Anolis sagrei: one gene and its partners. The protein of the gene in region 1 interacts with the protein of each later gene in a pairwise test. Links are inferred from orthologs where the notes say so. Each region holds a gene or a part of one and is shown in the gene's direction. Other genes may lie near its edges. The genes, in order: EGFR, STIP1, STAT2 and CFL1.

Evidence for each region.
Region 2: the proteins of EGFR (region 1) and STIP1 interact in binary tests that used the Homo sapiens proteins (3 or more experiments, as listed by UniProt). The link is inferred for Anolis sagrei from reciprocal best matches to the Homo sapiens genes EGFR and STIP1.
Region 3: the proteins of EGFR (region 1) and STAT2 interact in a protein complementation assay, tested with the Homo sapiens proteins (3 studies listed by BioGRID and IntAct, with this or other methods). The link is inferred for Anolis sagrei from reciprocal best matches to the Homo sapiens genes EGFR and STAT2.
Region 4: the proteins of EGFR (region 1) and CFL1 interact in binary tests that used the Homo sapiens proteins (3 or more experiments, as listed by UniProt). The link is inferred for Anolis sagrei from reciprocal best matches to the Homo sapiens genes EGFR and CFL1.

Annotation. Positions count from the first base shown.
Region 1 is NC_090026.1:66,070,511-66,077,777, forward strand, and holds the start of EGFR (epidermal growth factor receptor), read left to right. Parts: upstream 1-4,255; 5' UTR 4,256-4,626; coding exon 4,627-4,702; intron 4,703-7,267. UniProt on the Homo sapiens protein: Receptor tyrosine kinase binding ligands of the EGF family and activating several signaling cascades to convert extracellular cues into appropriate cellular responses.
Region 2 is NC_090032.1:15,948,073-15,955,348, forward strand, and holds the start of STIP1 (stress-induced-phosphoprotein 1), read left to right. Parts: upstream 1-4,253; 5' UTR 4,254-4,358; coding exon 4,359-4,367; intron 4,368-7,276. UniProt on the Homo sapiens protein: Acts as a co-chaperone for HSP90AA1. Mediates the association of the molecular chaperones HSPA8/HSC70 and HSP90.
Region 3 is NC_090022.1:138,706,600-138,714,265, reverse strand, and holds the start of STAT2 (signal transducer and activator of transcription 2), read left to right. Parts: upstream 1-4,646; 5' UTR 4,647-4,744; intron 4,745-7,666. UniProt on the Homo sapiens protein: Signal transducer and activator of transcription that mediates signaling by type I interferons (IFN-alpha and IFN-beta).
Region 4 is NC_090032.1:9,213,824-9,221,529, reverse strand, and holds the start of CFL1 (cofilin-1), read left to right. Parts: upstream 1-4,696; 5' UTR 4,697-4,875; coding exon 4,876-4,878; intron 4,879-7,706.

The DNA of each region.
Region 1 (7,267 bases):
AACTCTCCGTGACTTCATGGACCAGTCCACACCAGAGCTCCCTGTCGGTCGTCACCACCCCCAGCTCCTTCAAGGTCAATCCAGTCACTTCAAGGATACCATCCATCCATTTTGCCCTTGGTCGACCCCTCTTCCTTTTTCCTTCAATTTTCCCCAGCATCATTGTCTTCTCTAAGCTTTCCTTTCTTCACATGATGTGGCCAAAGTACTTCATCTTGGCCTCTACTATCCTTCCCTCCAATGAACAGTCAGGCTTTATTTCTTGAAGTATGGACTGGTTGGATCTTCTCGCTGTCCAAGGCACTCTCAGAACTTTCCTTCAGCACCACAGTTCAAAAACATCTATCTTCCTTCGCTCAGCCTAGGGAGGTCTACAGAGTGAAAATTCATATTTCCCAGAATTTAATATTTAGAAGTATTCTTTCATCCCCATACATAGACAGTCTTATTCACCATCAAATCCCTTTTGAGTCCTTTTGGGCGGATGGCCATTGATTAATTAAGTATTTCATCTGGTCTGTCCAGAAGTGCCCACAATTCAGAGTTACTGAAAGACCTTCAGTTCAAATGCTGTAAAAGAGGGAGGCACCTCTGTCTACCTCCTCTACACTGTGTATGCTCAAAGGCCACTCTTGCATGTTCCCCTTACGCTCTTTTAAATAAACGTAAAAACCACAGCATTGTGACCCTTCTCATAGATTTGCTCGAAGACCCAGATCATTTTGGTCCTACCATTACTACACCTTGATCTGTGTCATAGATTCAATTTCAGCTACTGATGTGGCTTTGAAAAAAAATGCTCAAGCTTTCTAAAGAAAATTGACCCTTTTGATTCTCCTTTCAGACTCTTTTTCTTACTGTGAGTGCTCAGACTGTAGAATTATAGCTCTGCAATTCCCCTTTAACTGCCACAATTGCATTCTAGGGATTTCCAGAATTTGTGGTTCGGTGAGGCACTAGAGGAACTCTCTGGCTGAGAAATCAAAATACCCCTTCCTAAATTATTTATTTGTCGTGTCAGGGCAACCAGTCAATTATATTACATTTCTAACAGAACAAACAAACAGACAAAATACAAAATTTGTGAGTTTGGTAGTTGATTAAATGTCCTTTGACCAGTATCTGGCCACTTGGAGTGTTTCTGGTGTTGCTGCAAAAAGGTCCTCCATTGTGCATGTGGCAGGGCTCAGGTTGCGTTGCAGCAGGTGGTCAGTGGTTTGCTCCTCTCCACACTCGCATGTCGAGGATTCCACTTTGTAGCCCCATTTCTTAAGGTTGGCTCTGCATCTCGTGGTGCCAGAGCGCAGTCTGTTCAGCGCCTTCCAAGTCGCCCAGTCTTCTGTGTGCCCAGGGGAGAGTCTCTCATTTGGTATCAGCCATTGGTTGATAGGGGACATGAGAGAAGCCTCCTCGCAGGATTGTAAGACATCCGGGCGTCCCCTGGGCAATGTCTTCGTAGACGGCCGATTCTCTCGCTCCAGAGGCAACCAGAAGCGACTTGCAGCATGCAAGCAAGCAAGCAAAACAACCAATGGACCTTTACAGGGGAGATGGTAGCGGGGTACAAATAAAGTATTATTATTATTATTATTATTATTATTATTATTATTATTATTCTGCGTTGTGCAAATAGCACTCCTGAGGAGCAAAGCGAAAACAGCGTAACCAGGCCCATAGCCAGGATTTTGATTTGGGGGGGGGGGGGGGCTAAGTTTGATTTGGGGGGGGCGAGTCTGAGTGAAAGAGGGTCTACCCTAGCAAACCTTTTGTATTGTTACCCCAATACCCCCATGCATATGGGATATATTGAGTATGGTGATCAGATCATGATATGAATAAACGTAACAGTTTAAATAATGCACCAGTAAGGCCTTCTCACGGACCACCATGAGAATTTCGGGGGGGGGGGCAAGCTCCCCCCCCCCCGCCTTCCAGATCCAGCTATCATACTTTTACCCTGAGGAAGCCACAGGGAGGAGGGAGCAAGCTTGTTTTCTGCTAGGGCGCGGAGACTAGGGCGCGGAACAATGGCTTCAAACTACAAGAAAGGAGATTCCATCTGAACATGAGGAAGAACTTCCTGAGTGTGAGCGCTGTTCAGCAGTGGAACTCTCTGCCCCGGAGTGTGGTGGAGGCTCCTTCTTTGGAAACTTTTAAACAGAGGCTGGATGGCCATCTGTCAGGGGTGATTTGAATGCAATATTCCTGTTTCTTGGTAGGGGGTTGGACTGGATGGCCCATGAGGTCTCCTCCAACTCTTTGATTCTATGATTCTTCTTCAGGCTAAACATGCCCAGCCACTCCTCAAAGGGCTTGTTCTCCAGACCCTTGATCATTTTAGTCGCCCTCCTCTGGACACATTCCAGCTTGTCAATATCTCCTTTCAATTGTGGTGCCCAGAATTGGACACAATATTCCATGTAAGAAGTGTAAAGGGGGGAGGATTCCAAACCCCTACTGTTTGGAGCTGGATCCCTATGGCAGGGGTCCACAAACTTTTTAAACAGAGGGCCATGTCACAGTCCCTCAAACTGTTGGAGGGCCGGATTATAATTTGAAAAAAAACATGAATGAATTCCTATGCATACTGCACATATCTTATTTGTAGTGCAAAAACACTTAAATGCAATACAATAATTAAAATGAAGTACAATTTTAACAAATATAAATTTATTAGTATTTTAATGGGAAGTGTGGGCCTGCTTTTGACTGATGAGATAGGATTGTTGTTGTTGTTCTGTGCTTTCAAGTCGTTACAAACTTAGGTTGACCCTAAGCGAGGGCCGGGTAAATGACCTTGGAGGGCCGCATTCGGCCCCCGGGCCTTAGTTTGAGGACCCCTGATTTATCGTGTCATCAGCAACCATTGTATTACAATTCTAACAGAGCAAAACAAACACACAGATTAAAAAGAAAAAGGAAAAAAAACACACAGATTTTGCAAATTTGGTATTTGGTTAAATGTCCTTTGACCAGTATCTGGCCACTTGGAGTGCCTCTGGGGTTGCCGCAAGAAGGTCCTCCATTGTGCATGTGGCAGGGCTCAGGGTGCATTGCAGCAGGTGGTCAGTGGTTTGTTCTTCTCCGCACACGCATGCCAAGGATTCCACCCTGTAGCCCCATTTCTGAAGGTTGGCTCTGCATCTCGTGGTGCCAGAGCGCAGTCTGTTCAGCGCCTTCCAAGTCGCCCAGTCTTCTGTGTGCCCAGGGGGGAGTCTCTCATCTGGTATCACCCATGAATTGAGGTGCTGGGTTTGGGCCTGCCACTTTTGGACTCTCGCTTGCTGGGGTGTTCCAGTGAGTGTCTCTGTAGATCTAAGAAAACTATGTCTTGATTTAAGGGATTTTGGCCTGCATCAATAGGAGCATAGTGTCTAGATCTAAGGAAGTAATGCTACCCCTCTATTCTGCTTTGGTTAGACCACATCTGGAATATTGTGTCCAATTCTGGGCACCACAATTCAAGAGAGATATTGACAAGCTGGAATGTGTCCAGAGGAGGGCGACTAAAATGATCAAGGGTCTGGAGAACAAGCCCTATGAGGAACGGCTTAGGGAACTGGGCATGTTTAGCCTGAAGAAGAGAAGGCTGAGAGGAGATATGATAGCCATGTATAAATATGTGAGAGGAAGCCACAGGGAGGAGGGAGCAAGCTTGTTTTCTGCTTCCTTGGAGACTAGGACGCGGAACAATGGCTTCAAACTACAAGAGAGGAGATTCCATCTGAACATTAGGAAGAACTTCCTGACTGTGAGAGCTGTTCAGCAGTGGAACTCTCTGCCCCGGAGTGTGGTGGAGGCTCCTTCTTTGGAAGCTTTTAAGCAGAGGCTGGATGTCCATCTGTCAGGGGTGATTTGAATGCAATATTCCTGCTTCTTGGCAGGGGGTTGGACTGGATGGCCCATGAGGTCTCTTCCAACTCTTTGATTCTATGATTCTATAAGTCGTTGATGTGCTGGCTGATACCCAAACAAGGGATGAGCTGGAGATATCTCTGCCTTGGTCCTTGAGAGAAGCCTCCTCGCAGGATTGCAAGACATCCGGGCGTCCCCTGGGCAACGTCTTCGTAGACGGCCGATTCTCTCGATCCAGAAGCAACCAGAGACGACTTCCTTGCAAGTGAACAAAACAGAAAGTAAATAAACTTGGCGGGCGAGCAACCCTAAAGGAGCGAATGCTGCACGCGGGAGGCGCGCGGGAGGGAACGCGCCTGCGCAGTGCGCGCGCGCTGCTCGCTTCAGCAGCCTTTGCCTCGCCTCAGCCTCGCCTAGCTTGCCTGACTGGAATTTCTGGCCCGTCCCTTCAGGTAGCAGCAGGCCCCGCCTGGGCGGGCTCAGGTATTGAGGCCAGTGGCGGACCAGAGGGAGAGCAGAGGGAGACCCTCAGCCTCGCGCGCGCAAAAGGAGAAAAGTTTTCCTGGGAGTTGAAGAGAGAAGGAGGAGGACCCGGCGAGAGGCGGAGCGGGGGGCTCCTCTCCTCCTCACTCACTCCCTCCCTCCTCCCCCCTTGGAGTTGTCATCCTCACATTGCAACAGTCCTCGGCAGGGCGAGCAGCGCGGCTGAGGCGAGGCAAGCGCCTTCCTTCCTCCTTCCTTCCTTCCTTCTTTCCTTCCTACTTGGCGGAGATGGGCTCGCTATGGTTGTCCTGTGGGGCCCTCCCGCTCCTGCTCCTGGCTCTGGCCGCCGCGGACGAGAAGCGAGGTGAGGAAAGCGCGCCTGAGGGGAAAGTGAGGCCGGGAAAGGGCGGGCGCTTGAGCAGAGAGAGGCCGGGGAGACGACTCAGAGGCATGGCCCTTCTGACAGGCAGGCATGGGCAAACTGTGGCCCTCCAGGTGTTTTGGACTTCAACTCCCACCATTCCTAACAGCCTCAGGCCCCTTCCTTTTCCCCCTCAGCCGCTTAAGCTTAAGCGGCTGAGGGGGAAAAGGAAAGGGCCTGAGGCTGTTAGGAATGGTGGGAGTTGAAGTCCAAAACACCTGGAGGGCCACAGTTTGCCCATGCCTGCATCCAGGTTGTGCAATAGTTTTGTTTTGTAGTTTTAACCCTCGTATATAATATGATTAGGGGTAGCATTTGATTTCGTTATGCTAAGGAGTGATTTCTCAGTTAGAATCCAGAAGGGGAGCCAGCCCATCAAGACTTAACTTGCAAAGTAATACAGAATGTCATATAATAATATAGCATTTCGGATCTTTCCAAACAGCGCATCACATAGTTTTTTTGTTTTTGCAATTCATTTTTATTGGTGAATGACATGGGCATAGACAAAATGTTGACATCTATATAAATAAAAATGTCTGGAAGGGCCCTGAGTGGTCATTCCGTTAAAAAGGTACTAGGAAATGGTTACATGGCATCATGATGATGATAATAATAATAATAATAATCTATATAAATAAAAATGTAATATTCGTTTGTGGGATTAACAGAACTCAAAAAAACACTGGACGAATTGACACCAAATTTGGACAGCATACTCCTAACAACCAAAGGAGTGATCATCACTAAAAAAAAACAAAAAAAACCCGATTTTGTCATTTGGGAGTTGTAGTTGTTGGGATTTATAGTTCACTTACAATCAAAGAATATTCTGAACCCCATCAACAATGGAATTGAACCAAACTTGGCACACAGTTCTCCCATGACCAACAGAAAATACTGCAAGGGTTTGGTGGGCAGTGGTTTTGGAGTTGTAGTTCACCTACATCCAGAGATCACTGTGGACTCAAACAATGATGGATCAGGACCAAACTCTACACAAATACTCAATATGCCCAAATGTGAACACTGGTGGAGTTTGGGGGAAATAGAGTCATCTAGCCATAGATGTAGATAGATAGATAGATAGATAGATAGATATGATTCACTCACACAGAGATATAGTATCATAGATTTGAAAGGGACCCCTAAAGAAGGACATTTATAAATTGCATGCTCCAGAGTAGCAAACTAGACAATCTCTACATCAACACATCAACAAAGAAACAGCAAGAAATACTGTTTACCCACAAGCATAAAGAAACTACATGTATTAGAAACCAACACTTTCTCATTACTTTATTTTCCAGATCAACAGACTGGGCCACAGCAACGCGTGGCAGGGGGGCCACTAGTGTAGTATAATAATATAGCATTTCAAATCTTTCCAAACAGCACATCACCGATGCATAGTTTTTTTGGTTTTTGCAATCCATTTTTATTGGTGAATGACATGGACATAGACAAAATTTTGACACACACACACACACACATATATATATATATAAATGTAATGTTCGTTTGTGGGGTTAGCATAACTCAAAAACCACTAGTCAAATTGACACCACATTTGGACACGGTACACCTAACAGTCCAACGAGTGTCCATCACCCCTAAACACACACACACACAAAACCCCAGTGGAACAGACTTAAAAACTCAAAAAATACACTATATGTACACATATACACATGCACACACATATACACATACAAGCACACACATACACACAATATGGATGTACACATAAACACACACACACACACACACACATATATATACAAACACACACATATATATACAAATATATACACACACTTAAACACATATATACACACATACAAAACACATATACACAGACTGGGCCACAGAAACGCATGGCAGGGGATGGCTAGTGTGTATGTGTGTGTGTGTGTGTGTGTATATATATATATATATATATATACTAGCTGTTCCTGCCACGTGCTGCTGGGGCCCTGATGGGGGTTCTGTGGGGGAGGTTTGGCCCATTTCTATCATTGGTGGGGTTCAGAATGCTCTTTGATTGTAGGTGAACTATAAATCCCAGCAACTACAACTCCCAAATGACAAAATCATTTTTTGAGTGACGGACATACCTACATTGGGTTGTTAGATGTCTTGTGTCCAAATTTGGTGTCAATTCATCCAGTGGTTTTTGAGTTCTGTTAATCCCACAAACGAACATTTCATTTTTATTTATATAGATATATATATATACATACACATACTGCACTGAGCCTCCTGCAGGCTGGGAGGGGCGGTATATAAATGTAGCAAATAAATAATATTTATATACATATACATATAAACACACACATTAATCAAAGATAAAAAGTCATTGACATGACTGCAATAGCTGGTTTCTATTACACTGAAAGTAGGTGAACATGGTTTAAAACAAAAGTAGGAAGTGAAGAATAGGGGTGAAAGAGGGAGGAGGGGGAAAAAAGTAAGGGAAACCAGTATCAAACATCTATGTATCACATA
Region 2 (7,276 bases), on another chromosome or scaffold:
AGCGTTCTTATGGCTGATGACTGCCTGTCCTACAGTTTCATATCCAAGCCAAAAAGCCAAATATTCCACTTGGGCCTTGACCCAAGTGGAATTTGGGATTTTTTTTCTCCTGTTACTTACTTAGGGGATGCCTCATTGGACGAGTAGGATAGTCTTCCATGATTAGTATTCTTGTGGATCCGTAGGTGGCTGTGGAGCCCTTTTCTTGACCTGCATCTTCCCCCACAGTGAGGTCATTGGTTTCCAGGTGGAAGGCTGTCTCGGTTGGGGTTGGCTTGACACGCCTTCCTCCTGGTACGTTTCTCTCTTTCGCCCTCCATTCGTGCCTCTTCAAATTCTGCAGCACTGCTGGTCACAGCTGACCTCCAGCTGGAGCACTCAAGGGCCAGGGCTTCCCAGTTCTCAGTGTTGATGCCAGAGTTTTAAAGGTTGGCTTTGAGCCCATCTTTCAATCTCTTTTCCTGTCCACCAACATTCCGTATGGACCAAACTTGCCACGAATATTCCATATGCCCAAATATGAACACAGATGGAGTTTGGGGGAAATAGACCTTGACATAGAATCATAGAATCAAACAGTTGGAAGAGACCTCATGGGCCATCCAGTCCAACCCCCTGCCAAGAAGCAGGAATATTGCATTCAAATCACCCCTGACAGATGGCCATCCAGCCTCTGCTTAAAAGCTTCCAAAGAAGGAGCCTCCACCACACTCCGGGGCAGAGAGTTCCACTGCTGAACGGCTCTCACAGTCAGGAAGTTCTTCCTAATGTTCAGATGGAATCTCCTCTCTTGTAGTTTGAAGCCATTGTTCCGCGTCCTAGTCTCCAAGGAAGCAGAAAACAAGCTTGCTCCCTCTTCCCTGTGGCTTCCTCTCACATATTTATACATTTATACATTTGGGAGTTGTAGTTAGTAAAGGTAAAGGTTGTCCCCTGACATTAAGTCCAGTCATGTCTGACTCTGGGGGTGGTGCTCATCTCCATTTCGAAGCCGAAGAGCCGGCGTTGTCTGTAGACACCTCCAAGGTCATGTGGCTGGCATGACTGCGTGGAGTGCCGTTACCTTCCAGCAGGAGCGGTACCTATTGATCTACTCACATTTTGCATGTTTTCGAACTGCTAGGTTGGCTGAAGCTAGGGCTGACAGCGGAAGCTCACGCTGCTCCCCGGAATCGAACCTGTGACCTTTCGATCAACAAGCTCAGCAGCTCAGTGCTTTAACCCACTGTGCCACTGAGGGCTGTACTGGGATTTATAGTTCACCTACAATTAAAGAGCATTCTGAACCCCGCCAATGACAGAATTGGGGCAAACTTCCCATGCAGAACCCCCATGACCAACAGAAAATACTTAAGGCCATCCAGTCCAACTCCCTTCATCAGGGCAAGAAAACATAATCAAAGCCCTCCTGACAAAGAGCCATCCAGGTAGAGATATAGATAGATGTATATGATTCACACACACAGAGATATAGTATCATAGATTTGAAAGGGATCCTTAAAGAAGGACAATGATATGTTGTATGTTCCAGGGTGGGCAATCCAGACACTCTCCACATCAACACTGACAAAGAAACAGCAAGAAATACTGTTTACCCACAAGCAGAAAGAAATTACATATATTAGAAACCAACACTTTCTCATTATTTTATTTTCCAGATCATCAAACTGGGCCACAGCAATGCGTGGCAGGAAACGGCTAGTAATAAATAAATATTTGAGAGGAAGTCACAGGGAGGAGGGAGCAAGCTTGTTTTCTGCTTCCTTGGAGACTAGGACGCAATGGAACAATGGCTTCAAACTACAAGAGAGGAGATTCCATCTGAACATGAGGAAGAACTTCCTGACTGTGAGAGCCGTTCAGCAGTGGAACTCTCTGCCCCAGAGTGTGGTGGAGGCTCCTTCTTTGGAGGTTTTTAAACAGAGGCTGGATGGCCATCTGTCACGGGAGCTTTAAATGCAATATTCCTGCTTCTTGGCAGAATGGGGTTGGACTGGATGGCCCATGACTGTGAGAGCCGTTCAGCAGTTGAACTCTCTGCCCCAGAGTGTGGTGGAGGCTCCTTCTTTGGAAGCTTTGAAACAGAGGCTGGATGGCCATCTGTCAGGGGTGCTTTCATAGAATCATAGAATCATAGAGTTGGAAGAGACCTCATGGGCCATTCAGTCCAACCCCATTCTGCCAAGAAGCAGGAATATTGCATTCAAATCACCCCTGACAAATGGCCATCCAGCCTCTGCTTAAAAGCTTCCAAAGAAGGAGCCTCCACCACACTCCGGGGCAGAGAGTTCCACTGCTGAACGGCTCTCACAGTCAGGAAGTTCTTCCTCATGTTCAGATGAAATCTCCTCTCTTGTAGTTTGAAGCCATTGTTCCGCGTCCTAGTCTCCAAGGAAGCAGAAAACAAGCTTGCTCCCTCCTCCTCCCTGTGACTTCCTCTCACGTATTTATACATGGCTATCATATCTCCTCTCAGCCTTCTTTGAATGCATTATTCCTGCTTCTTGGCAGAATGGGGTTGGACTGGATGACTGTGAGAGGTGTTCAGCAGTGGAACTCTCTGCCCCGGAGTGTGGTGGAGGCTCCTTCTTTGGAAGCTTTTGAACAGAGGCTGGATGGCCATCTGTCAGGGGTGATTTGAATGCAATATTCCTGCTTCTTGGCAGAATGGGGTTGGACTGGATGGCCCATGAGGTCTCTTCCAACTCTAGGATTCTATCATTTAAGAGTTTCCTGACCGTGAGAGCCGTTCAGCAGTGGAACTCTCTGCCCCGGAGTGTGGTGGAGGCTCCTTCTTTGGAAGCTTCTAAACAGAGGCTGGATGACCATCTGTCAGGGGTGATTTGAATGCAATATTCCTGCTTCTTGGCAAAATGGGGTTGGACTGGATGGCCCATGAGGTCTCTTCCAACTCTAGGATTCTATAATTCTCCCTCTCCCATTCAGTAAAGTCTTTGCTGGAAAAATGCGGCAAGCTAATGACAACAATGAGGAGGAAATTCAGCCAATGGGAGCACCTCCCGCTGACGTCTCCACCTTTCCCGTCCAATTAGAATACACTATAGCTGGCCAATGAAACGCTGGAGGCGGGATCTTGGAAAGGCAGAGAAATCCGCCTTACTTTTTGTACGCCCCGCCCCTTCACTCTCAGTGACCCAATCGCGTTTTAGCTCCCATATTGTGGGCGGAGCCGAGGAGGAAGGCGGGATTTCGGAAGACGGACAGGAAGAGAGGCGGATAGGTCTTTAGCTCCGCCCCTTCACGATCCGTCACGCTCAGTGGCCCAATCGCATTTTAGCTCCCCGATTGTGGGCGGAGCCGAGGAGGAAGGCAGGATTTCGAAAGACGGACAGGTAGAGAGACGGACAGGTCTTTAGCTCCGCCCCTTCACTCTCAGTGACCCAATCGCGTTTTAGCTCCCATATTGTGGGCGGAGCCGAGGAGGAAGGCAGGATTTCGAAAGACGGACAGGTAGAAAGACGGACAGGTCTTTAGCTCCGCCCCTTCACGTTTCGTCACTCTCAGCGGCCCAATCACATTTTAGCTTCCATATTGTGGGCGGAGCCAAGGAGGAAGGCAGAATTTCGGAAGACGGAGAGGAAGAGAGACGGACAGGTCCTTAGCTCCGCCCCTTCACGCTGAGTGGCCCAATCGCATTTTAGCTCCCCGATTGTGGGCGGAGCCGAGGAGGAAGGCAGGATTTCGGAAGACGGGCAGGAAGGGAGACGGACAGGTCTTTAGCTCCGCCCCTTCACGCTGAGTGGCCCAATCGCATTTTAGCTCCCCGATTGTGGGCGGAGCCGAGGAGGAAGGCAGGATTTCGGAAGATGGGCAGGAAGGGAGACGGAGAGGTCTTTAGCTCCGCCCCTTCACGACGCGTCACGCTCAGTGGCCCAATCGCATTTTAGCTCCCCGATTGTGGGCGGAGCCGAGGAGGAAGGCAGGATTTTGGAAGACGGACAGGAAGAGTGACGGACAGGTCTTCAGCCCCGCCCCTTCACGCTCAGCGATCCAATGGCGTTTTAGCTCCCGATTGTGGGCGGAGCCAAGGAGGAAGGCAGGATTTCGGAAGACGGACAGGTCTTCAGTCCCGCCCCTTCCCGCTCATTTACCCAATCGCATTTTAGCTCGCCAATTGTGGGCGGAGCCGAGGAGGAAGGCGGGATTTCGGAAGACGGACAGGAATAGAATCCGTTTGGGTGTATAGAAGGGGCGTGTCCAAGTTAAAGGGAAAGAGCCAATGAGCGTCGAGGGGCGGGGCTAGAGGGTTCTAGCAGGTTCCAGAAGGCGGGGTGGGAAGAGAAGCAGGCGGCTCGACTCAGTGAGGGAAGTGGCAGCGAGGAAGTCCGGCCGGCGCGATGGAGAAGGTCGGGCCTAGCTTGGTGTGGCGGGGAAGCCGGGTGGAGGGGGGAAAGGGGGCCTGAGGGGGACGCAAAGGATCTCGGGAAGGCCGCGTGGGGTGGGGGAGGGGCTCGGAGGGGGTCCCCTTAACGGAAGTGGGTTCGCGCAAGGCATGGCGGGAAAGGGAAGCGTGGGCCTGGGAGGGGAGCTTCACAGAACGTGTGAATGTCAGATTTCAAGGGGGGATTCCTCTTGGTGGAGAGAAAGGGGGTCAAAAGCAGGGCCTCCAGAGTTGAGAGGATCTTTGAATATGAAATAATAATAATAATCCACTTCAATGCAAAACATGGAGTCTCCTCCTCTGGAGGTTTTGACTCGGAGGCTGGATGGCCATCTGTCGGGAGGGCTTGGGTGGTGTCTTCCTGCCTTGCAAAAGGGGGGATGGACTAGATGGCCCTTTGGGGTTCTCTTCCAACTCTGATTCTACTGATTATATTATAATGTAATACAATCTTCTATCTATATCTATATATATCTATATCTGCTCTCTGCTATCTATATCTTCTATCTATATGGGGTTCTCTTCCAACTCTGATTCTACTGATAATATTATAATGTAATACTATCTTCTATCTATCTATCTTCTATCTATATCTATCTATCTATCTAAATGGGGTTATCTTCCAACTCTTATAATGTAATGCTATCTTCTATCTATCTTCTATCAATCTATCTATATCTATCTATCTATATGGGGTTCTTTTCCAACTCTGATTCTACTGATAATATTATAATGTAATACAATCTTCTATCTATCTATCTTCTATCTATATCTATCTATCTATATCTATATATCTATATGGGGTTCTCTTCCAACTCTGATTCTACTGATAATATCATAATGTAATACAATCTTCTATCTATCTATATCTATCTATCTATCTATATCTATATATCTATATCTTCTATCTATATCTGTCTATGTATATGGGGTTCTCTTCCAACTCTGATTCTACTGATAATATTATAATGTAATACAATCTTCTATCTATCTATCTTCTATCTATATCTTTCTATATGGGGTTCTCTTCCAACTTTTATAATGTAATACTATCTTCTATCTATCTTCTATCTATCTATCTATATATCTATCTATATCTATATATCTATCTATATCTATATCTATATGGGGTTCTCTTCCAACTCTGATTCTACTGATAATATTATAATGTAATACAATCTTCTATCTATCTATCTTCTATCTATATCTATCTATCTAAATGGGGTTCTCTTCCAACTCTTATAATGTAATACTATCTTCTATCTATCTATCTATCATCTATCTATCTATCTATATCTATCTCTATGCGGTTCTCTTCCAACTCTGATTCTACTGATAATATTATAATGTAATACAATCTTCTATCTATCTTCTATCTGTATCTATCTATCTAAATGGGGTTCTCTTCCAACTCTTATAATGTAATACTATCTTCTATCTATCTTCTATCTATCTATCTATCTATCTATATCTATATCTATCTCTATGCGGTTCTCTTCCAACTCTGATTCTACTGATAATATTATAATGTAATACAATCTTTTATCTTCCATCTATCTATCTATCTATATCTTCTATCTATATCTATCTATCTCTATGGGGTTCTCTTCCAACTCTGATTCTACTGATAATATTATAATGTAATACAATCTTCTATCTATCTATCTACTATCTATCTATATCTATATATCAATATCTTCTATCTATATCTATCTATATGGGGTTCTCTTCCAACTCTGATTCTACTGAGAATATTATAATGTAATATAATGTAATAATGTATCTTCTATATATCTATATCTTCTATCTATATCTATATCTATCTATCTATCTATCTATATCTATATATAACAATGCTTTGTGCCTAATAAGTTCCTTAAAAACAAAAGAACCAATGAATGAAATCACACCAAATTTGGCAACAAAACGTCTCACAACACAAGGAGTGACCATCACTCAAAACACTATGACTTTGTCATTTGGGAGTTGTACTTTCTGGGATTTATAGTTCACCTATAATCAAAGAGCACTCTGAACTTCACCAATGGTGGAATTGAACCAAACTTGGCACACAGGACTCCCTTGACCAACAGAAAACACTAGAAGGGTTTGGTGGGCATTGGCCTTGAGTTTTGGAGTTGTACTTCACCTACATCTAGTGTGGACAATGATGGACCTGGACCAAACTTGGCACGAATACTCAATATGCCCAAATATAAACACAGATGGAGTTTGGGGGAAATAGATTTTGACATTTGGGAGTTGTAGTCACTGGGATTCACAGTTCACCTACAATCAAAGAGCATTCTGAACCTCACAAACAACAGAATTGGGGCAAACTTTCCACACAGAACCCCCATGACCCACAGAAAATACTTAAGGATATCCAATCCAACTCCCTTCATCAGGGAAAGAAAACATAATCAAAGTCCTCCTGATAAAGAGCCATCCAGCCATAGATAGAGATAGATAGATAGATAGATATGATTCACACACAGATAGAATCATAGAATCAAAGAGATGGAAGAGACCTCATGGGCCATCCAGTCCAACCCTCTGCCAAGAAGCAGGAATATTGCATTCAAAGCACCCCCAACAGATGGCCCTCCAGCCTCTGCTTAAAAGCTTCCAAAGAAGGAGCATCCACCACACTCCGGGGCAGAGAGTTCCACTGCTGAACGGCTCTCACAGTCAGGAAGTTCTTCCTCATGTTCAGATGAAATCTCCTCTCTTGTAGTTTGAAGCCATTGTTCTGCATCCTAGTCTCCAAGGAAGCAGAAAACAAGCTTGCTCCCTCCTCCCTGTGGCTTCCTCTCACATATTTATACATGGCTATCATATCTCCTCTCAGCCTTCTCTTCTTCAGGCTAAACA
Region 3 (7,666 bases), on another chromosome or scaffold:
CTGTCAGATTCAGATTTTCCATGCCTTCCCCCCGCCTCCCCCGAGCCAACTCCACTGTGATTAGTCGCAATGTCAGTGATCCAGGAGGAGCAGCCAGGGAAGGATGCGGCTCCTCCAATCAGAGCACGAGCCCCGCATTGGCCGCTCAGCTGATAAGTGAGAAGGAGGCAGGCAGCAGGGGAAACAATGAAGAAATGGTTAAGTGATTGGATTATGAATGGTCCTCCCTGGACCTTGATGATAAGTGATCAGGAAAGATGGCTTTCAGCCCTCCAGTCCTGATCCTGACTATTGACAAAAGTCTGAAACAACATCCTAGTCTGGCCCCGAAGAGCCAGCCAATTGTCATAAGGTCCAACAATATTAACTTTTTCAATAAGATCTTGGATCCTTTTCTTGGAATGGGGGGATGGCTTTGTGGGAAATCTGGCAATAACTCCTTTTCCTCTTGGTTGGGGAAATGTTTTTTGTGTCAAGTGATTACCATGTCCATGAGCCCCATACCTTAGGTAGTCTGGTCAAAGAGACCCTCCAAAGCCCAAGGAAAAGGGGCTATTTACTTATTGTCCATGCTGATGAGTTTCTGCAGAGTCCATTGTTTAGGAATGATGACCCAGGAAGTATTGCAACACCTGGATCCTGAGGTGCTGGGCACACTTTATGAAGAGGTCATCTTGCTTAATATTTTATATAGACATACATACATATCATAAATGGGAATATGGGGCATATACAGAGTTCATATGGAAAGGGGGAACCTGTAGGGTCAAGGGAAGATCCGCCTTGGCCACCCAGAGCCATTCAAGATGGTACATTGTCCATACAAGCGCTGAGCAGCCAAAGTCCATTAATAAAACAGAAGTTCATAAAAAAGGAGTCCAATTAATAAAAACAGCCAAATTGGCCTGATGCTGGCCAGGGTCACAGGGTGACACACAAGGGGCTTTCCAGGGTCAGCAGGCACCATGGGGCACCATGTCAAGGCTACATGCACAAGAAAGAAAAGGGTACACGAACATCATTGCCATGTGAGACAATGGCACCACGGAAAAAGTCTTAGGTTCCCACATGGGGGGTTTGGGCAAGAAGAATGGATCTGGGGGTCCAAGGGTCCATTCAGCAGAAAGTAAGATGGTAATTAGTATTATAATTCATCAGGGAGGAAGATGGCGCCGATTTGGAGTGGATCGGTTAACCCACGGATACCAAGACCATGTGGGCCCCCATATCCGCAGTTTAAAGGAACGCAGTTCTGGGCTCCCTGGGACACTGCTGGAGCATCCCAGCTGAGCCAACGGAGTTCTGCGGCTTGGGAGCGGGAAAGTTCATGGTTGGAGCAAAGCTAGAGTCAGTAAAGGAGACAATGTATTACTTCATAGAGGGAAAGGTTGGAGAAAATGATACTTTTTATTGGGGAATTGTTACAAAGAGGCTAAGGTAGGTTAACAGAGGGGGAGAGAGAGAGTTCTTTGTTGAAGCTGTTGCTGGTGACACTGTCCTGCAGATACCTGAGAACTCATACTCTCAGGAACTGTGGAACTCCCTGCTGCGGTCAGATCAATTTGAAGGCAGGAGTCTCTGTTTTCGCCATCACTTTAAGCAAATAGATAAAAAGCAGTAACTCTCCAGTAACAGGACGTAAGTGCCTTGGTTGTGGCAAGGAGTGCCATCTCTACTGAAGAGGTTTACAGAAGTGCAAAGACAAGAGTGAAAAATGTCTAAAGGAGTGTATTTGTGGGTAGAATTGAATGTCTCAGAAATAGCCTACTGAGGACTGAGTGCGTGCAAAGCAGCTATCAGATTACAACTAAGTGCTGGGATAGCTGAGTGGGGCCACTGTGCATAGTGACTGGGATTATTTTGCACACAGTTTGATCCTAACTGAATTCTTTTTAAATTTAATTGATATATAACTTCACCATTGTTGCTTTGAGGCCTAAGATTTAGATCAAGGATGGGCATTTGCAGCAGGCCCTGTTATGGGATTTTTGGCTTTAAAAGGGAAGTAATACAAAACATATTAGTTTACAGAAAGAGAAGTCTGCTTTTGGCTTATACTTCTCAACGTTGAAGTCTGATTTTTATTGGGTTTTTTAAAAGATAGAACTGAAATTGAGACTGACAAATGCACAGGCCCCTGCGTTCAAGCTGATTTGAACTGCAGCAGGGAGTTCCACAGTTCCAGGACATCCAGGTGAGCCAGTATCGTGGGGACTGTGGCCACAGCAGCAGCTCCAACTGAGTCATTTTTCTGCTTTCTTTCCCCCCTTCCCCTAACATTGTAACAAATCCCCAAATAAAAGTATCTTTTGATTGCAATTTTTCCTCTCCATAGTGATACATTGTGTCTCTTTACTGCTTCTAACACTATCTAACATTAACCTTTTCCTTCCTGAGCCTCTGATTACTGCTGGCTCACCCAGGGTGCTCTTACAGCGTCCCGGGGAGGCTGAAACTGCGTTCCTCTGAACTGCCGATACGGAAATCTATTGGGCCCCCATATATGTGGGTCAACGGATCCATTCCAAACCGGTGCCAATTTCTTCCTAGACTAGTTCTAAGACTAATTGCTATCTCGCTTTTTGCATTATGGACCCCTGCGCCCTGGGAATATTCATTTTCACCTCAAAACCAGACGTGGAGACCAGTTGGTTCTGATCTATGGCTCCATGTTACAACAACGTCTGTGCCTCCATCTCACATGTGTCCAGAAGCTGACCAAACCCAAAGAACCTGCTGTGGTCACCCCTTGGGACCCCCGTATTCCTGACAGGCCATCCTGGTCCTTAGACAAAATTGGATTCGTAGTTTTCTTCTCATCAAAGAATGGATTCCAGCTCTCAGCGCTCACAGTGATTCCAATATGCTCCCCATGGACTTTTATGAACTTTCCAAGGCTCCCTATGAAGTTCTCTCAACTTTCATGGACTTTTTAGAACTTTTATTAACTTTTGAAGAACTTTAGAACTTTTTAGGAACTCTCTGGCCAAAGCCCCTATGAATTCTTATTATCTTAACCTCTCTTTGTGAACTTTTGATGGATTTTGGAGGGAGGGCTGACATGATTTCTATTTGCCTTTATGTGATTTATCCCCCATAAACTCCTTGTATGTTCCCTTCCCATACCATTATATGTGTGTATATGTCTATATTTTTCAAAAATAGAAGAGAGCCACCCTTTTCAAGAATCCAGCACCCCATGGCTCCAGGAAGCATTTCTCAAAATCCTGGGCCGGTTTGTTCCAACACAAAGGACTCGATCAAAACCCATTTGCATGGACAATAAAACAAATGGTTCTTATCAACCAGATCTCAGAGGGCAAAAGGCTAGTCCATCTGGAGATAAGACCATCTTGATCCACCAACACAAAGGGTGCTGTCCTATCTGTGGAGGATCCAGGCTCCCCACTGCCTCTTTTTCATTGTGAGGACCCAGCTGGCTGATACCAGTCATAAATCCCATCAATGGACTCTTATCCCGGATGGAAGGACAACAAAAGATCTGGTCTCTGAGCCAGATGAAAATGTATCTTCCAGAGCATCAAAACAATAGCCTGGCCAGCTTGAGGGCTAAAGAAGGCAATCACTGACCGCTTAGACAATCGTTAATAATTTTAATCTTATCACCTTTCCTCTTCATTCATTGTTTCCCACCTGGCCTGCCTCCTCTCTTCCCATTGGCCAAGAGGCCGAAGCGGCGCTGGCTCTATGATTGGACAAGGCGCAGCTAAGCCAGCCACACCTCCCAGCCAGCTGATGACTCCAGCCAATCAGTGAGAAGCCAGCAAGGGGGGTGGGAGTGAGAAATTTGAATTTGACAGCTCTGTATTTCCCATAAAAACTGTAATATTTCCCCTTGTGAGTTATGTCGACTTTGGTGAATGATTGCAGTTTGACATCCACTCCAGCTGGAATGAAATAAACAACTCGGTGGCTTCTTCTTCAACTTAGTGAGATTTATTTGGGAAAAATAGTGAAAAATTCTATTTGGGTATTCTTGTCTCGCCAAGTGTTTGGGCCCTCTTTGGTGGGTCTGGCTGGGCCTTGCCTCAGTAGGACCCCCCCCCCTTAAATCTCATGTTTGACATCAAAATCACCCCCAGGCAGCAATCAGCCAGGCTTTGAAGCTGCAAGGGCCTTCAATGCTAATCAAGGTGGCCAATTTCAACATTCACACTTGCCTCAAGCAAACAAGAGTTCTTTCTCCCACTCTGGACATTATTCCACAGATATATACACCTCATTTGCCTAGTTTCCAACCTCTGAGGATGCCTGTGGGCGAAACGTCAGGAGAGAATGCTTCTGGAACATGGCCATACAGCCCTGAATAACTCACAGCAACCCAGTAGAGTTTGGGTTTTGAAAACTGTGGAGGGAAACTCCAAAAAAAAAGGAGTTGAAATGCTGTACAGGAATCTACACTGAGCATAGAATAGAGCTTCAAACTGCATTAAACGGGGCATAAACACTGCCAACCCTTTCCAAACCTGCCCAGGATTTGAATAGTCATGGGTCAAGCCAGGCTCCGCCCACGGCGCTGACGTCATTCCTGGGAAATCGAAATCTACAGCCGCCAGAGCCGGCTCTTCCCTTCCCGGGCGCTACTCCCTCCGCGCCTGGGCGGGGCTCCGGCGCCTTGACCAATCGGGAGGAGAGTGGGCGGGGCATTCGCTTTCCTGCTTCTGTTTTCGCTCCATAGACTTCGAAGGAAGGGAGCGCGCCGGCCCTGCAGAGAGCGGTCCAGGTGGGTGCGCGCGCAAGGTGGGCTTGGCGCGGGTGGGCGGGGAGGTCTGCTGGCTCCTACTGGAGTGAGACATAGGGATCTGGATGAGGTGTTTGCATCATCCAAAGTCGCAAACATCTCGGAGGAATGCTTACATAACTTAAGGGAGCTCAAGGAAAGATCAAACAACCCCTTAAAGCATCAGACATGAGCAAACTTCGGCCCTCCACATGTTTTGGACTTCAACTCCCAGAATTCCAAACAGCTGGTAAAGATACTGTTTTAACTGCCATGGCTCAATCAATGGAATCCTGGGAGTTGTAGTTCAATCTTTTGGAGACAACTTCAGGGCCTCTTTCAAAATACAGTAGACTCTCAGGGCCCTTCTCCACTGCCAGATAATCCAGAATACCAAGGCATATTATTCACATGATCTGCTTTGAACTGGATAATCTGAGTCAAAATCAAGAATTAGTTTTCTAAGATCAGAGATACTCGCAGGAACACCTCAGCAAGCAAGAGTCCAGGAGTGGCAGGCAAAAACCCAGAACTTCAAGCCATGAATGAGAGACTCCACCCCGGGCACACAGAAGACTGGGCAGCTTGGAAGGCAATGAGATGCAAAGCCAGTAAGATGGCTGGGATTTCTGGGAGTTGAAATCCAAACACAGCATCCATAAAATTTATTTATTTACCACATTTGTATACCACCTTTCTCAGCCCGGAGGTGACTCAAGACGGTTCACAGCTGGCAACAATTCAGTGCCTCAACAATTGTAAAGATACAGTTAAAACAATTATAAAATTAAAGCATTTAAGATATAATATAAAAACCGTACAAAGCCATAAAAATGTAATCAGCAGTGTCTCCTTACTAAAATTGTTATCCAATTTCAAAATACAGTAGACTCTCAGGGCCCTTCTACAATCAGGGCCAGCTAACACCTCCCAACAAAGGATGCCTCCAGGCAGGAAGCAGTCAAGCTTTGAAGCTGCAAGGCTATTAAATGCTAATCAAGATGGCCAATTGCAACATTCACATGTATCTCTTGCAGACAGGAGTTATTTCTCCCACCCTGGACATTCCAAGATATATAAACCCGATTTTCCTAGTTTCCAACACACCTCACAACCTCTGAGGATGCCTGCCATAGATGTGGGTGAAATGTCAGGAGAGAAGGCTTCTGTAACATGGCCATACAGCCCAGAAAACTCACAGGAACCCTTCTACACTGCCAGATAATCCAGAATATCAAGGCAGATAATCCACATGATCTGATTTGAACCGGGTTATCTGAGTTTACACTACAAATTCAAAGCAGATAATTTGGATTTTATACAGCTGTGTAGAAGGGGCCTCAGTTAACTGAAACTGAAGCAACCACTAGTCTACTAAGGAGCAAAAAAGAATAGAAAAAGAATACAGCATCCACAAAGCTGTTTTTGTAACACAGTAAAACTGTTACATTAAATTTGTTTTAATTGGACTCAATTTGCTTTTAATTACTGTATTTCAATATTAATATCAAGTCAATGCAGAATCTATGGTGTGGTGTATTATGGGCATAACATTAGTAAGGCTTATTTTTAATAGTAACTCTCAAGCAACCAGAAATGATAATATTTCCAGTATCTAGCAATTCCCATGAATGAGGGTTACTGAGGTCACATCTACATAGCCCATTTAATGCAGTTCAAAGCTAACTTCAAACTCTAGCAGCCAGATAAACTCCTACAAAAGTGTGTGATCCTTTGAAGATGCCAACCACAGATGTAGGCAAAACATCAGGAGAAAATGCTGCTAAAACACGGTCATACAGCCCAGAAACCATACAACATGGTGTGTGAAAGAAAGTTCTTAATATGCATCATTACTCTGTGATTTGTGTAATTACCATCTTGGCCGCCATCTGGTTTCAGGATTTTCTGTGTAATCATCTACACCAGGTATGGAAAACATCGGCCCACCTGGTGTTTTGGACTTCAACTCCCACAATTCCTAAAAATTGAAGTCCAAAATACCTGGAAGGCTGAAGTTTGCCCAGGCCTGATCTATACAGCAAAACCATTTTTTTCAATACTGGTTTGAAGCAGCATTAAATGGCTAGCGTAGATGTGTCTGAGCATTTCCTGCTTATAAATAAGAATGAAACAATAAAACTATGTAACAAAATTTGAAAAAAACATCTGTTCCTGGTTTGAAAGTGTTATTTCTTGTTTAATTGTACAGTACTTGCTTTGAAAGTAGTTGTTATACTCTAGAAACTTCATTTTTGTGGCAGCCACAAACTAGGTTGAATGAGTTAAGACTCTATGAGAATATTAACTGGAAAAGCTATAACAAAATGTGCTGCAAGATGTCCCACAAAAACAAATGTTTTAATAAACTTTTCCCATGTTTTTATGATAAAACCAATTAGGAAACAATATTTATAACCAAGGAACAAAAACTGTGTTCTTTCTATCTGTCTGTCTGTCCATCCATCTATCTATCCATCTATCTATCTATCCACATGATAAAAGTGAAAATATGTATGCGTGTATGTGGCTGGGGTGCCCACTTCCACACACAGGTTCCCGCTTCCACAGACAGCTATAACCCACAGTGTTGAGGAACCACCAAAAGCACTCCGTCCAATGACATTTCAGGTTATAGCGAGTACCATGCCCTTCCTAAACACTATGGCCCACCATCCAAGGAATGCTTCCATACAGGGACAATTTCATCCTAGATTTTATATGTTTCCTCCGCTGCAAACATCCCAGTGTTTCTTACTCTCTCCATTGGTGTGGAATTTGCATGATCCCATCCACTGCCTCTTTCTCCCTTAACCAATTCTCTCACAAAGAATTGGTTAAGCAACTTGCAGTTTCTCAAGTCACTCCTGATACACATAAAAACCCTTTCCCACTCTTTTCAACTCTGTCTGCAGAACTGAGCAG
Region 4 (7,706 bases), on another chromosome or scaffold:
TTATTTTAAGTTGAAAAATGAAGACATTGTGTGCCAAGTTCGGTCCAGATCTATCAAGCCACAGAGAGGAACCTTTGAGGTACAAATAAACATACATAATAGATAGATAGATAGATGGATGGATGGATGGATGGATGGAGGGATCCGCTTCTTGCTATGCAGGGCAATAAAGATTATTATTATTATTTGAAACACAACAAGATGAGTCCACAGCAAACAAAATCACTCTGATGGCTGAATTTATTATTATTATTATTATTATTATTATTATTAATATAATATAATTTATTATTATTATTATTATTAGTATTCAGCTCTAGTTAAAGCAGGTGGGTGATGGTTTATGCCACTAAACAAGGCAGGATTAAGGCAGTACTCCACAAAGGAACAATAACGCTCTCCCCCTCTTTCTTAAAGCCTATTCCTCCAAAATTGCCTAAAATGGACATATACATGTATTAAAGCCTATTCTGTCACACTCTGGTTCTTTTATGCAGAGAGAGAGAGAATCCCTGGCGCGTTCTATTTCTAAAGGCAACGTTTTCCCCAGATTTTCTTCTTCCCAATCAAATAGAAGAAAAACCACTAAACAAATGCACTTTTTTGTGTGTGTGCCTTCGGTGGGAGGCTAATGTTGCTCATTGTAATGCTGCCAAGTTATTTGATGGTCGGAGTCCTGATTTCCATCACAAACACACATAACCTTTTGCAAAGGTTTTGCATAGTCGGAGCCAGACAAAGTGACATTTTATGGCCAGATAGAGACCCAGATCAGTCTGATCTCTTTGCAAGACGAAGGAAATTTCGTTGGAATTATAATCAATCTCTTCCCATTTCCAGGCAAACCTTATATTCACCTCTGAGGATGCCTGCCAGAGATGTGGGCAAAACGTCAGGAGAGAATGCTTCTGGAACATGGCCATACAGCACAGAAAACTCACAGCAACCCAAACCATCTATCAACACATAATAAAAAGTTAAAATATGTGTGGCTGGGGTGTCCACTTGCACAGACAAGCTCCCACTTCCACAAACAGCTATAGCTCCCACTACTCAGGAGACACCAATGGCCCTCCTCCCAATGATATTGCAGTTATAGAGAACACCATAAACATATCCAAGAGCCCTGCCAATGTCCTCCACAAACACAATACTGCTCACCAACCAAGTAAAGGCTTTCATGTGGGGACAATTCCATCCTAGATTTCATGTGTTTCCTCCACCACAGACATCCCAGTGTTTCTTACTCTCTCCATTGGTGTGGAATTTGTACGACCCCGCCCATTGCCTCTCCCTTAACCCTTTCCTATTCTTTTCTATGGCACACAGCATACAGAGGAACTGATCAGCAACTGAAGACACTACAGAGGTTTGGGGAGCATTCACCATGATTTATAAGTGTAGGTACTGGGATGTATAGTTCACCTGCAATCTTTTTGGCATTGCAGAGGGATTGGCTGGTGACTTCTGGAAGAGCACTTTGGTTTTCTCGATGTTCAGTGACAGGCCGAGCTTCTCGTATGCTCCTGCAAAAGTGTTTAGAGTGGCTTGTAGGTCTTCTGAATGCACACAGCCTACATTGTCATCAGCATACTGGAGTTCTATGACAGATGTTGTAGAGTGGCCTGTAGGTTTTCTTCTGAATGCGCATAGACTATGTTATCATCGGCATATTGGAGTCCTATAACTTGTTGTGACCTTGCTTTTGGCTTTCAGTCTGCTGAAGTTACCAAGGTGCTTGTTTATAAAGCTATTGTCCTCCCAACCCTGCTGTTTGCCTGCGAAACGTGGACTGTCTACAGATGTCACATGCAACTCCTGGAATGATTCCATCAGCGCTGCCTCCGGAAAATCCTGCAACTCTCTTGGGAAGACAAGCAGACAAATGTCAGCGCGCTGGAAGAAAGAAAGACCGCCAGCACTGAAGTGAGGACAATAGCTTTATAAGCAAGCACCTTGGTCCCCCTATGGATGTCCCGGTCCTCAAACACTCTCTGCTTCATTCGGAAAAATGCTGCACTCACAGAGCTCAGGCGGTGTTGTATTTCGGTGTCAATGTTGACTTTGGTGGAGAGGTGGCTGCCAAGGGAGCGGAAATGGTCAACATTTTCTAATGTTACACCATGAAGCCGTATCTCTGGCATTGGAGAGGGATTGGCTGGTGACTGCTGGAAGAGCACTTTGGTTTTCTCGATGTTCAATGACACTGAAATACACCACCGCCTGAGCTCTGCAAGTACAGCATTTTTCCGAATGAAGCAGAGAGTGTTTGAGGACCGGGACATCCGTAGGGATACCAAGGGTCTTGTTTACAAAGCTATTGTCCTCCCAACCCTGCTGTATGCCTGTGAAACGTGGACAGTCTACAGACATCACATCAGCGCTGTAAATCTCTTGGGAAGACAAGCAGGCAAATGTCAGCATGCTGGAAGAATGAAATACCACCAGCAATGAAGTGAGGACAATAGCTTTATAAACAAGCACCTTGGTCGCCCTACGGATGTCCCGGTCCTCAAACACTCTCTGCTTCTATTGTCTATTGTCTTCTATTATATATTGTCCTCCCAACCCTACTGTATGCCTGCGAAACGTGGACAGTCTACAGATGTCGCATGCAACTCCTGGAACGATTCCATCAGGCATAGACTACGTTGTCATCGGCATATTGGAGTTCTATAATAGATGTTGCTGTGGCCTCTCCTGGGATGTAACATGACTCCGGTGGTTATGCCCGCAGGTTCATTGGAACATGGTGATGACAATCCATCGAGTAGTGGTTTGTTGTTGTTCATACGTTCAGTCATCTCTGACTCTTCGTGACCTCATGGACCAGCCCACGCCAGAGCTCCCTGTCGGCCGTCACCACCCCCAACTCCTTCAAGGTCAGTCCAGTCACTTCAAGGATGCCATCCATCCATCTTGCCCTTGGTCGGCCCCTCTTCCTTTTGCCTTCCACTTTCCCCAGCATAATTGTCTTCTCTAGGCTTTCCTGTCTCCTCATGATGTGGCCAAAGTACTTCAACTTTGTCTCTAGTCTCCTTCCCTCCAGTGAGCAGTCGGGCTTTATTTCCTGGAGGATGGACTGGTTGGATCTTCTCGCAGTCCAAGGCACTCTCAGCACTTTCCTCCAACACCACAGCTCAAAAGCATCGATCTTCCTTCGCTCAGCCTTCCCTAAGGTCCAGCTCTCACATCCGTAGGTGACTACAGGGAAGACCATTGCTCTCCTCCCAAGAAGTAAGTGTCTCCTGATATCCTGGCCACAGTCTGCATCTGCAGTCATCTTTGCACCTAGAAATACAAAGTCTGTCACGGCCTCCACGTTTTCTCCCTCTATTTCCCAGTTGTCAATCATTCTTGTGGCCATAATCTTGGTTCTTTTGATGATTAGCTGCAACCCGGCTTTTGCGCTTTCTTCTTTCACCTTGATTAGAAGGCTCCTCAGCTCCTCCTCGCTTTCGGCCATCAGAGTGGTGTCATCTGCATATCCGAGGTTGTTAATGTTTCTTCCAGCAATTTTCACCCCAGCTTTGCATTCATCCAGCCCTGCACATCCTCGCATGATGTGTTCTGCATACAAGTTAAAAAGGTTGGGTGAGAGGATGCAGCCTTGCCGGACGCCTTTCCCAATCTTGAACCAGTCTGTTGTTCCGTGGTCAGTTCTGACTGTTGCTCCTTGGTCCTTGTACAGATTCCTCAGGAGAGAGGGAAGGGGGCTTGGGATGCCCATCCCACCAAGAACTTGCCACAATTTATGATGATCCACACAGTCAAAGGCTTTAGCAGAAATAGATGTTTTTCTGAAACTCCCTGCCTTTCTCCATTCTCCAGCATCTGGATATTGGCATCTGGTCTCTGGTTCCTCTGCCTTTTCTAAACCCAGCTTGAACATCTGGCAACTCTCGCTCCATGTCTTGCTGGAGTCTTCTTCCTTGCAGGATCTTGAGCATTCCCTTACTGGCATGAGAAATAAGGGCCACTGTACGGAAGTTTGAGCAGTCTTTCGCATTTCCCTTTTTTGGTATGGGGATATAAGTTGATTTTTTCCAGTCTGATGGCCATTCTTGTGTTTTCCATATTTGCTGGCATATGGCATGCATCACCTTGACAGCATCCTCTTTTAAGATTTTAAACAGTTCAGCTGGGATCCCGTCGTCTCCTGCTGCCTTGTTAGCAATGCTTCTTAAGGCCCATTCCACCTCACTCCTCAGGATGTCTGGTTCTAATTCATTCACCACACCGTCAAAACTATCCTCGATATTATTATCCTTCCTATACAGATCTTCTGTATATTGTATATATATAATATATATACAGATCCTTCCTATACAGAACATGGCCCTATAGCCCGAAAAAACCCAAAAGAACTGAGTAATTCCAGCCATGAAAGCCTTCGACAATACAATGATGATATTATTATTACAATCCATACATAGTATGGTAGGGAATGGCCTCTACCATAACTCAAGGCAGGCCTCAAAACCTGGCTGAAGAGGCAGGCCTGCTTTTGGGGGAGAGAGAGAGAGAGACTCTTTTTCCCCCCGCCCTTCCGTCTCCATGGCAACCTCTGCCTGAGATGCCGGCCTGGCACCAGCAGGGGAAAGGAGGCGGGCGAGGGAGGACTCGCTTTCCCGTGATGCCCCGCGCCGCAAGTCGGAAGCGGCTCCTCCTCGGCGAGGCGCCTTAAAGCGGAAGCGCGGAGCCGGGCGGGGCAGCAGTTCCTTTTCGGGCCTCGCTTGACGCGCAGACGGGCTCGGAGCCGCCGCCGAGGAAGACGCAGGAGCCCCCTTCGCCGCCGGAGCCACCCCCAAGGCCCAGAGCAGCCTCCAGCACCCGCCGACAGTTCCTCGCCCAGCCTGCTTGACTTCCAGCGCCATGGTAAGGCTTGCGGCTCCTCCTCGCCGCCCCCCTGCCTCGCCGCCCGGCCGCCATCTTGTCACCCGGCCGCCATTTTGTGGGGGACTCGTGGGGGATGGAGCCTCGGGAAGGCCGCCTTTGGCGCCCCCTCACGCCCCCGCCACTGAGAAGCCACGCTCCCCCTCTTCTGGGCCTATAAGGGTCCCTGCTGAAGCCCAGCCCCTCTTGAGTTGCTCTAGAAGCACTCTCTTCTGACATTTCGCCCACGTCTATGGCAGGCATCCTCTGAGGTTGTGGGGTCTGTTGGAAACCTGCCATTGAGAAGCTTTGCTCCCCCTCTTCTGGGCCTGTGAGGGTCCCTGCTGAAGCCCAGCCCCTCTTGAGTTGCTCCAGAAGCACTCTCTTCTGACATTTCGCCCACGTCTATGGGAGGCATCCTCTGAGGTTGTGGGGCCTGTTGGAAACCTGCCATTGAGAAGCTTTGCTTCCCCTCTTCTGGGCCTGTGAGGGTTCCTGCTGAAGCCCAGTCCCTCTTGGGTTGCTCCAGAAGCACTCTCTCCTGACGTTTCGCCCACGTCTATGGCAGGCATCCTCTGAGGTTGTGGGGTCTGTTGGAAACTAGGCAGGTGAGGTTCCATATATCTGGAAATGCTGGGCCACTCTTGACAACAAAGAAAAGCCATTAATCTCCATGTGGACAGTGTCAACAGAAAGGAGGAAATGATGGAAATGAGCAAAATTTGGCAACTTCATTAACAAAAGAATAACACCAAAAACAAAACAGCAGATTTTCAGACAGGAAACGATCCTTGGTCAGCTTGATTAGCATTGAATAGCCTTGCAGCTTCCAAGCCTGGCTGCTTCCTGCCTTAGGGAATCCTGTGGTGGGAGGGTACCAGTATTTCAAAAAAACCCTCTCAAACTAAGGCCCGGGGGCCAGATATGGCCCTCTAAAGTCACCTTCTTTGGAAGCTTTTAAACAGAGGCTGGATGGCCATCTGTCGGGGCCGCTTTGAATGCAATATTCCTGCTTCTTGGCAGAATGGGGTTGGACTGGATGGCCCACGAGGTCTCTTCCAACTCTAGGATTCCATGATTCAACTATATGATTCTGTGATACCCGGCCCTCACTCAGGGTGAATCTAAGTCTGAAATGGCTTGAAAGCACACAACAACAACAATCCTATTGTCGAAGGCTTTCATGGCCTCGGAGGTTGTGGGGTCTGTTGGAAGCTAGGCAAGTGGGGTTGATATATCTGTGGAATAATGTCCAGGGTGCGAGAAAGAACTCTTGTCTGCTGGAGGCAAGTGTGGCCAGCTTGATTACCATTTGACAGCCTTGTAGCTCAAAAGCCTGGCTGCTTGAGGCAAGTGTGAATCTTGTAATTGGCCAGCTTGATAGCCTTGCAGCTCAAAAGCCTGTCTGCTTCCTGCCAAGGGGAATCCTCTGTTTTGGAGGTGTTAGCTGGCCCCGATTGTTTAACATCTGGAGAAAGAACTCTTGTCTGTTTGAGGTAGGTGTGAATGTTCCAGTTGTTGTTCATTCGTCCAGTCGTCTCCGACTCTTCGTGACCTCATGGACCAGCCCACGCCAGAGCTCCCTGTCGGCCGTCACCACCCCCAGCCGTGTCGTGGCGCTGGAGCTTGAGCACCTCAATGATGTCATGAGCGAAACCGTGAAGGGCCACCCAAGACGGGACGGTCATGGCAGAGAGGTCAGACCAAGCGTGATCCCTGGGGAAGGCAATGGCAAACCACCCCAGTATCCTTGCCAAGAAAACTATATGTTCCAGTTAGCCACCTTGATTAGCATTTAATGGCCTAGCAGTGTTAAAGGTCTGGCTTTTACTGCCTGGGGGAATCCTTTGTTGGGATAGTAAGAAGCCAGATCTTCCAAACTGCTAGGCCATTAAATGCTAATCAAGGCAGCCAATTGGAACATTCACACCCACCTCCAACAGACAAGAGTTCTTTCTCCCACCTTAGACAGGAAACACTGGACAACTCTTGACAACCAGACTACAAAGAGAAGCCATTAATCTCCATGTGGACAAGTGTCAACAGAAAGGAGGAAATGATAAAAACGAACAAAATTAGGCATCTTGTATTAAAACAACGTCATTAACAAAAGAATAACACCAAAAATAAAACAAAACTGAGGATTTCCAGTCAGGAAACGATCAGGGCCATGGGTCAGCTTGATTAGCATTGAATAGCCTTGCAGCTTCAAAGCCTGGCTGCTTCCTGCCTTAGGGAATCCTGTGGTGGGAGGGTACCAATATTTCAAAAAAACCCTCTCAAACTAAGGCCCGGGGGGGGGGGGGCAGATATGGCCCTCTAAAGTCACCTTCTTTGGAAACTTTTAAACAGAGGCTGGATGGCCATCTGTCGGGACCGCTTTGAATGCAATATTCCTGCTTCTTAGTAGGGGGTTGGACTGGATGGCCCACGAGGTCTCTTCCAACTATATGATTCTATGATTCAACTATATGATTCTATGATACCCGGCCCTCACTCAGGTCAATCTAAGTCTGAAATTGCTTGAAAGCACACAACAACAACAATCCTATTGTCGGAAGGCTTTCATGGCCGAAATCACTGGGTTGTTGTAGGTTTTTTCGGGTTGTATGGCCATTGTCTAGAGGCATTCTCTCCTGACATTTTGCCTGCATCTGTGGCAAGCATCCTCAGAGATAGTGAGGTCTGTTGGAGTTTTAAAAAATGGTTTATATATCTGTGGAATGACCAGGGTGAGACAAAGGACTCTTGTCTGCTGGAACTAGGTGTGAATGTTTCAACTGACCACCTTGATTAGCATACAATGGCCTGACAGCGAGGTCTCTACCTCT